Drosophila melanogaster: one gene and its partner. The protein of the gene in region 1 interacts with the protein of each later gene in a pairwise test. Each region holds a gene or a part of one and is shown in the gene's direction. Other genes may lie near its edges.

Region 1 (4,515 bases):
CACACTATGTACGTATATGTATCAAAAATGTTTGCTATATGAGCGCACGCGGTGTATGCTTCAAAGGTAAGAACATAGTTATTTTAACTAAAATGGTTAAGGAATGGCACTCCGTTAACTTTCGAAAGTCATCGAAAGCGGAATGTGGGCGGTAAGTGCTGTAAGCGCAGACTCAAACCTTTGTAAAGAATTTCGAAAGGAATTTGAATTTATACACAACTATGCGGCGGGACAGAGAGGGCGAGCGAGTGGGAGCGAGACAGCAGCGGCATGGAGAGCACGTTGAAAAAATCAGCTGTTTGTGGGACAGCACCAAAACAGAAACAGAGATGGCAGAAGTAGAGCGCGGCAGACAAAGCAGCGAGAGCGAGAAGGAGACGCGCGTAAGAGCGAGTGCGTCAGAGCGAGAGATAATGAAGATGGCAGGGGGAGGGTAAGGAGGTTAAGCACGCCGTGGGCTTTAAATTTCATGAATGCGAGCGCAAAAAACTGGGCAAAAAGAAATGCGAACAATGCAGAAAAAGGGGTAATGGAGAGAACGCAACCAAAACAACGGAATATAATAAGAGCGCTTTAAAAGCTCAGTTAAGCGAATTAATTTGCATGCCATTCGCGCGTTCTTGCACTCAAAATGTGAATATGTGGGTGCCCCCGACCCTTTGCTTACCAACACCACCGCCCCGCCCCCCCCGCTTCGCTCCTCCACAGCCCTTTTTGACTTTCCCCAACGCTTTTCCTGCCAATTGTTGTTCGTCTCGGGCATTGTTGCTGCGTGCTCTTTGTTTTTGCGCTTCATTTCATTCGTCACTTAAACACCCCTCGTCACTTAGTGCCCCCTACCCCTTCCCCATCAGACCCACTGCCCCCCTGCCGCACAAAATGCAACATCCTGGCAGCCATGTGATGCCAATGCCGATTCCCTATGCCGATTCCACACAAAAAGGCTGCAGTAAGAGCCCTCGAGGACTTTCCACTTAGTCTCCTGAAGAGAACGCGCCACTTCAGAGTTTTCAGGAAGTAAGACAAATAATTGCCGTGGCTCGATTTAATCCGCCATTTAAGCGCATTTAAGCCGCTTATTCGGCTGCTTAGTACTTACGTTTTCTAGGAAACAGAAACATTCACCCGAAGTTAATCCGCCGCCGATAACGCCGCCGCCAGCAAAATAAGGCCGGCGGCCCAATTAACAACGCCCATGCAACACGATAATTAGGTGCAACTTTTCTCTTCTTCGATCACATAACGAAAGTTAAATGTAAATGGGCTTTGGAATTCACAAATTTTTACGAAATTTTCTTTTCTATGCGTTTCCTGCGAAATTTCTCTCAGCGGAAAACACGCTGTGGCGAGTTTGAAGGCTTCACCAGGAATTTGTTGACTTGTCAGTGCGCCTCGAAGTTAGTGATGCGCAGGCGAATGGCCGCAAAAATAATCGCATGAATTTGGGCAAATTGGTAAGCAGAGTGCACTCGTCTATTGATGAGCAGCAGTTTTATTCAGGCAATTAGGTGCATTGAAAACTTCCAAGTGTAAATATTTACCTTAATTCCATAACATAACTGCCTTATCGAATGCTTTTGGTTAACAGTTAGTCACTATGGCGCGCAGAATAATTGATTTAAAAATTTGAAGCGCAATATTACGTTTTAAGAATGTAATGATCAATAAATGGCAAGAAATCAAATCTACATAATAATATATGCTATCATATTGAAGAATGTAATGAAAAACAAGCTTAGTTTATATAATTAATTAAATGACAAGTGCATACACGCTGGCGTTGCCAGACTGCTGCACATTGTTAACTGCGTGCTGTTAAGCGCAGCCTAACAGCACTCAAGCAGTGCGTGGCATTTCGACACATACTATGAACGGTAACATTGAGCACATAAAAAACGTAAACAATTCATTGTAAATTACAATTTCCCGCTTTTATTGCACAAAAATGTCCATGCAAAAGGCCAAAGTCATCGACCAGAAGGAGTACCTCAAGAAGTACCTATCCGGCGACAAGGAGAAGAAGAAGAAAAAGAAGGAGAAGAAGCACAAAAAGAATTCGGCCAACACCAAAGTGAAAATCATCGATGACGACGCCTACGAAAATGATAATCTGGAAATGGACGAAGATCTACTGCTGGGCGGCGAGGATGCGCCTCAAATTGTGGGCGAGTACATCGAAGAGGATCCCAATGTGCGCAGCAAGTGGCGCAACATTGCCGTCAAGGATGAAATCAAAGAAGAGCACGAGGAATCCTCGCCAGCAACTGGCATTCGCATCAAACAGGAGCCCTTGGATGAGGAGCAGGAGATGTGGGGACGCAAGGCGACAGTTGTTAAGGTTAAGGATGAATTCTCACCATCCAGACGAAGTTCACCCGTCAGAATTAAGCAAGAAAAACGCAGCAGCTCTAGGGATTTAAGCCCAGCGAGATCGAGTAAGCCAGCAAAGCGAGAAGAGAGTCCTCAAAGGGGGCGAAGAAGGGCGGGAAGCTCAGATCAGAGTCCCACCAGACGAGGGCGAGATGGCGATCAGTCTCCGCCACGCCAAAAGCACAGGGATTCCGATCAGAGTCCACCCCGAAAGGCCAGGAATGGCAATCAATCGCCAGTCAGAAAAAGGCGGGATTCCGACCAAAGTCCGCCAAGAAAACGAACGGGAAAAGCATCACCCACTCGAAGGAGAAGGGATTCCGATCAATCGCCACCCAGACGCCGCAGAAGTAACTCCGATCAGAGTCCGCCAAGGCGACGTAGAGACAAGGATTCAACTCCGCCCAGAAGGAGGAAAGATTCCGATCAAAGCCCACCTCGAAGGCGTAAAGCAGACGATCAATCTCCGGTGCGAAGGGAAAGGAAAGACTCCGACCAAAGTCCGCCTAGGAAACGGAGAGACAATGACCAGTCTCCAGTGCGAAGGAGGCGGGATTCAGATCAAAGCCCGCCCCGAAGACGCAGAGATGACAAGCAAACGCCGCCAAGGAGGAGAAGAAACTCCGATCAAAGCCCGCCAAGAAGACCCAAGGATGTAGATCAATCGCCACCGCGAAGAAAACGAGACTTCGACCAAAGTCCAACCAGAAAACGAGACAAATCACCACGCAGACGTCACGACTCCGACCAAAGCCCGGCCAGAAATCACAGAAGTCGAGAGCGCAGTCCACCGCCTCGTAATCGCTTCAAGGAAGAAAGGAAAAGTCGCTGGGCCAAGGCATCGCCCAGCAAATCAGCATCTCCACCTCCGACACACAAGCCGAAATCCACCAAGACACTAGATGGCAAGAAAGCTGGACTGCAGGATGCGAAATCGCTGAAGAAGGAAACCGACGAAAGGCGTCGACAAGAACATGAACTATTCGAGAAAATGTCCAGCGAAATTTCCGGTCGTGATGGCGATGTGCAGGTGCGCAGTACTCGCAGAAAGGGACACCGAGCACGAGATGCCGCCAATGAGGATCCCGCCGAGCAGGGCCGCAAAGAGGAGCACGAGAAAAAGAAGAAGGAACTGTACGATCGCTGGGGCAAGGGGTTGAAGCAAATAGAAGATCACAAGTCCCGCCTGGAGGAGATGGTCCATGAGGCCTCCAAACCGGTGGCTCGCTATGCCAACGACGAGGATCTGGACAGGCATCTGCGCGAACAGGAGCACGCCGACGACCCGATGCTGGAGTACATGCGCCAGAAGCGCAAGAAACGCGACCAGCAGGACAACAAGCCGGTGATGCCCAAGTACGAGGGCAGCTTTCCGGAGAACCGATTTGGCATCCGACCAGGATATCGCTGGGATGGCGTCGATCGATCCAACGGCTACGAGCAGCGTTGGTTCGACAAACAGAACGAACGGCGGGCCGTGCAGGATGAGGCCTACAAGTACAGCGTGGAGGATATGTGAATGTTGCAAGCGTTGTTTGCTTTCGTGTTGCAATAAAGATGTAGGCACTGCCTGTAAAAAAGAAAAGAGCAATTACATTGATCGTTTTCTTTGTTTTATTGAATTATTTTGGAAAATAAAGAATGTAAATAGGTAATATAATATTTAATATTTATTTACAAAAATTTGATTTTCGAAATGCCCGCCACTTTCCCGCCAAATCGACGTGCCACCTGCAACACTGGTCGCCAGCGCAATGCAACCCTGTGTGTAGAATAGCGGAGCAAAAGCGAATGGTAAATAGTCTTCATCTACACCTGCGACCTGCTCGTCGCTCCCAAAAAATCGTTTCAAAACCACGGAATAAACCGTGTAACTGGGGAAAACCCATTGTAATTATCAAGTTTAAAGTGTGCCGCACATTTTGGCTTCAAAACCAGAATAGGTAAGTGACATCATCTGCTAAATAGAAGCATTCTAAGATTTTTGCTTTGTAAGCAATAGAGTATCGATGTGTGTGTGTGTATGTAAATGGTTCTGCTTTTGGTTGCTTTGTTGCTGCTTTCGTTACAGCGAACAAAGCGTAAGCAACTGTATATGTGTATCGAGTGGGACGCCAGTGGTGTGTGTTTGTTGCCCCGCCCCCA
Region 2 (4,080 bases), on another chromosome or scaffold:
GAGATTACATGATTTCGCACCATCACTTCCAGGAACTGATTAACCTGAAGGTTCGAGAGACGGAAAACTGCTCGCTCGCGGAGATCGAGGAGCTGTGCCAGCAGGTGATCCATTACTCTGTGAAAACCTCGCACGGCCGCTTCCACAATCAGCTCTTTGGCCAGCTGGACCCGTTTGGACTGGCAGGAGCCCTGGTCACCGAGGCCATGAACGGCAGCACGTAAGTCTGCGCCTTATTCCACACATGTGTCTTGTCTATATGAGTGACCGCTGATTGCATCTCGTGTTCCAATCTACAAGTGGTGTCGGGGTTCAACGTACAGATAATTGCGCTATGTAATGGAGATTGCAAAGTACTACATGTATGTTTCATAACCCCCCCCCCCCCCTTTCGATTAATTTAAATGGGGATTAAGCAGAGTTCATACACAATCATTGCAAGTTATTAATCATTTAGATGAGATTTCCTAGATAGGACTACCAAAATCAGACTTTTAACCGAGGTATCCAACAAGACACAATAAACTTTTGTTTCAGATACACCTACGAAGTTGCGCCCGTGTTTAGCTTGATCGAAACTGAGGTGATCGCGACCATCTGCAAGTTAGCGGGATACAAGGAAGGCGATGGCATCTTTGCGCCCGGTGGCTCCACCTCCAACATGTACGGCATGGTTCTGGCCCGCTATAAGATCGCGCCCGAGGTGAAGACGTCTGGAATGTTTGGAATGCGACCGCTGGTGCTCTTTACCTCCGACGAGTCGCACTACAGCTTCGTGAAGGCGGCCAACTGGCTGGGATTGGGCAGCTACAACTGTGTGTCGGTGAGGACCAATGAGCGGGGTCAGATGCTGTTGGACGACCTGGAGGCGAAGATCGCAGAGGCAAAGGCACGTGGCGGTGAACCGTTCTTTGTCAACTGTACTGCAGGCACCACTGTGTTGGGTGCCTTTGATGATATCAATGGTGCGGCGGATGTGACGGAACGACATGGTCTGTGGCTCCATGTGGACGCCTGTCTGGGAGGCGCTGCACTACTCTCCGCCAAGAACCGATCGCTCATTGCCGGCCTCGAGCGGGCGAATTCGTTTTCCTGGAATCCGCACAAAACCATCGGCGCTCCATTGCAGTGTTCACTCTTTTTGACCAGGGAATCTGGCCGTCTGCTGGAAAGATGCAACAGCACCGAGGCGCACTATTTGTTCCAGCAGGACAAGTTCTATGATGTATCCTACGATACGGGAAACAAGAGTGTCCAGTGCGGCCGCAAGATCGACGCTTTCAAGTTCTGGCTAATGCTTAAGGCTCGCGGATATGGAAAGTATGGACTCATGGTGGACCACGCCATCCACATCGCCAGGTTGCTGGAAGGCAAGCTGCGCCAGCGTGGAGATCGCTTTAGACTGGTGATCCCGGAGCACGAGTACTCCAATGTCTGCTTTTGGTTCATTCCGAAAGCAATGAGGGTGTCCAGCGAGGAGGAGACGCCTGAATGGTGGAGTCGACTTTACACTGTAAGTGAATAACAATGGCTTTGATAGACCATTTAAGCTCACATTTTTATATGCTCCTTTAAAGGTGGCCCCGAAAATTAAGGAGCAAATGGCCCACAGCGGCACTTTGATGATTGGTTACTCGCCTCTTAAAGCTAAAAATCTGGGCAACTTCTTTCGCATGGTCTTCACTTGTTTTCCCATCCTGAAAAGCAAAGAGTTGGACTTCATTTTGGACGAAATTGAGAGATTGGGCGAGAAAATTGTGCTTTGAATTATTTTCTATGTGAATTAAGCTAATTAATGGAAATCGTTCAATTGTACATTTCATTGTAGTTATTACTTTGTGATAAAAAATACGCCTTTATTATGTAAACTCGGCTTAATCTCTATTTTGAATATTTAAATAAAAATCTTTCAAGAAATGAATATTAAGTTTTTTAAATTCATTTTCTACCGCTATCAACAAATAATATTAGCCTGGTCACACGAACATCCCCCAGCAGTAACTATCGATAAAAGTGTTCACGGGTATTGTTGTTATACCCCAGCGCGGTCATACCTTTACGTGAGATCAAAACAATAAGTTTTTGTTGAGAAATTATTTGTAAAACCACGCACATAAAAAGACGCTACGATGGGTCGCGCCGAGGTAGGTACGCCCAAGTACCTCGCCAACAAGATGAAATCGAAGGGTCTGCAGAAGCTGCGCTGGTACTGCCAGATGTGCGAGAAGCAGTGCCGCGATGAAAACGGCTTCAAGTGCCACACGATGAGCGAGTCCCACCAGCGCCAGTTGCTCCTCTTTGCGGACAATCCTGGCAAATTCCTGCACAGCTTCAGCAAAGAGTTCTCCGACGGCTACATGGAGTTGCTGCGCCGGCGGTTCGGCACGAAGCGAACCAGCGCCAACAAGATCTACCAGGAGTACATTGCCCACAAGGAGCACATCCACATGAACGCCACCCGATGGCTCACCCTGTCCGACTACGTGAAGTGGCTGGGCCGGACTGGGCAAGTGATAGCGGATGAGACGGAGAAGGGCTGGTTCGTCACCTACATTGATCGCAGTCCAGAGGCCATGGAACGACAGGCGAAGGCTGATCGCAAGGAGAAGATGGAGAAGGACGACGAGGAGCGGATGGCCGACTTCATTGAGCAGCAGATTAAAAATGCCAAGGCCAAGGACGGCGAGGAGGACGAAGGCCAGGAGAAGTTCACCGAGCTAAAGCGCGAAGAGAACGAACCACTCAAGCTTGATATTCGCCTTGAGAAAAAGTTCCAGCCTGACACTGTGCTAGGGAAATCCGCTCTAGCCAAGCGACCTGCCCCTGAAGCTGAAGAAAAGGTGTTCAAGAAACCCAAATCCGTGGCTGGAGACAGCCAAACGCGGTCGGTGCTGGACGAGATCATCAAGCAGGAGGAAAGCAAAAAGGAGCGTGCCAACCGCAAGGACTACTGGCTGCACAAGGGTATCGTGGTCAAATTTATTTCCAAATCCATGGGCGAAAAGTTCTTCAAACAAAAAGCGGTTGTCCTGGACGTAATTGACAGATATCAGGGCAAAATCAAGTTCTTGGAGACTGGGGAAAAGCTAAAAGTGGATCAAGTAAGATGGAAACCCAATTTTAATCTATAACGGATATTTACCCAGGTGTTTTTATTTTTTTTTGTTTTCCAGGCTCATTTGGAGACGGTAATCCCCGCTTTGGACAAGCCTGTCATGGTGGTTAATGGCGCTTATCGGGGATCCGAGGCTCTGCTAAGGAAACTGGACGAGCGCAGATATTCAGTCAGCGTGGAAATATTGCACGGTCCTCTCAAAGGCAGAATTGTAGACAACGTGCAATACGAAGATATATCTAAACTACATGGCGCCTAGCTGCGCTTTTCTAAGTTAAATTCTATAGTTGTACCTTTTTATGCCTAATTTGATATATATGTAAGTAAAAAATCTTAACCATTTCGGAGAAAGGCTGAAATCGAACTAGACAAAAATCTGCACATAATACGTTCGTTACTTAAATTTGGACTGCTCAGCATTTGGGTTAATAAAACATGACTTTTTAATGAAAATAACTAGAACACTCTCATTTACTCAGTGTACGAATATTTCAGTGGGTATGCAAACAATATTTTCGAGTTCAGTTTGGGAACAATAAAACCAGCGAACAATGGCCGCTTTACTAGCGATAATTTCTATACTTGCAAAACTTAAACTAGTTCCAGCATCGGTGTGCTAAAGAAGGGATATGAGGATTCTGTGTGGCATTGTTATCCTATTACGCCTCGGAGCATTGGGAGATATAGCTGTTGACGAAGAGGGAAGGTTGACGCGAAGCTGGTGGGATGCAGTGCCTAGACTTTTAACTGACATCGCCACCATTAAGGCGAACATACTCACAGCTGCTCCACTTGAATTGGCTTCCAACATAATTGATGCTGTGTGTAAGGATAACGTCCTGTGTTTATCAACATATAAAAAGTTATTTGATTTTATTGTGATCTAAATGCCAGGTTCTTCCACCCTCTTTATGGACAGAATCCCTGCGCAAATCACTCCGGACATAAGGAAGATGCATTTTCAG

What was found.
Region 2: the proteins of CG13625 (region 1) and kin17 interact in a two-hybrid assay, tested with the Drosophila melanogaster proteins (one large-scale study listed by BioGRID).

The regions. Positions count from the first base shown.
Region 1 is NT_033777.3:24,582,511-24,587,025, reverse strand, and holds CG13625 (uncharacterized protein), read left to right. Parts: upstream 1-1,865; 5' UTR 1,866-1,945; coding exon 1,946-3,889; 3' UTR 3,890-3,959; downstream 3,960-4,515.
Region 2 is NT_037436.4:20,354,768-20,358,847, forward strand, and holds kin17 (kin17), read left to right. Parts: upstream 1-2,039; 5' UTR 2,040-2,129; coding exon 2,130-3,101; intron 3,102-3,173; coding exon 3,174-3,374; 3' UTR 3,375-3,564; downstream 3,565-4,080. Other genes in the region: CG5618 (uncharacterized protein), read left to right, coding at 33-220, 538-1,513, 1,578-1,766; CG5665 (uncharacterized protein), read left to right, coding at 3,745-3,940, 4,010-4,080.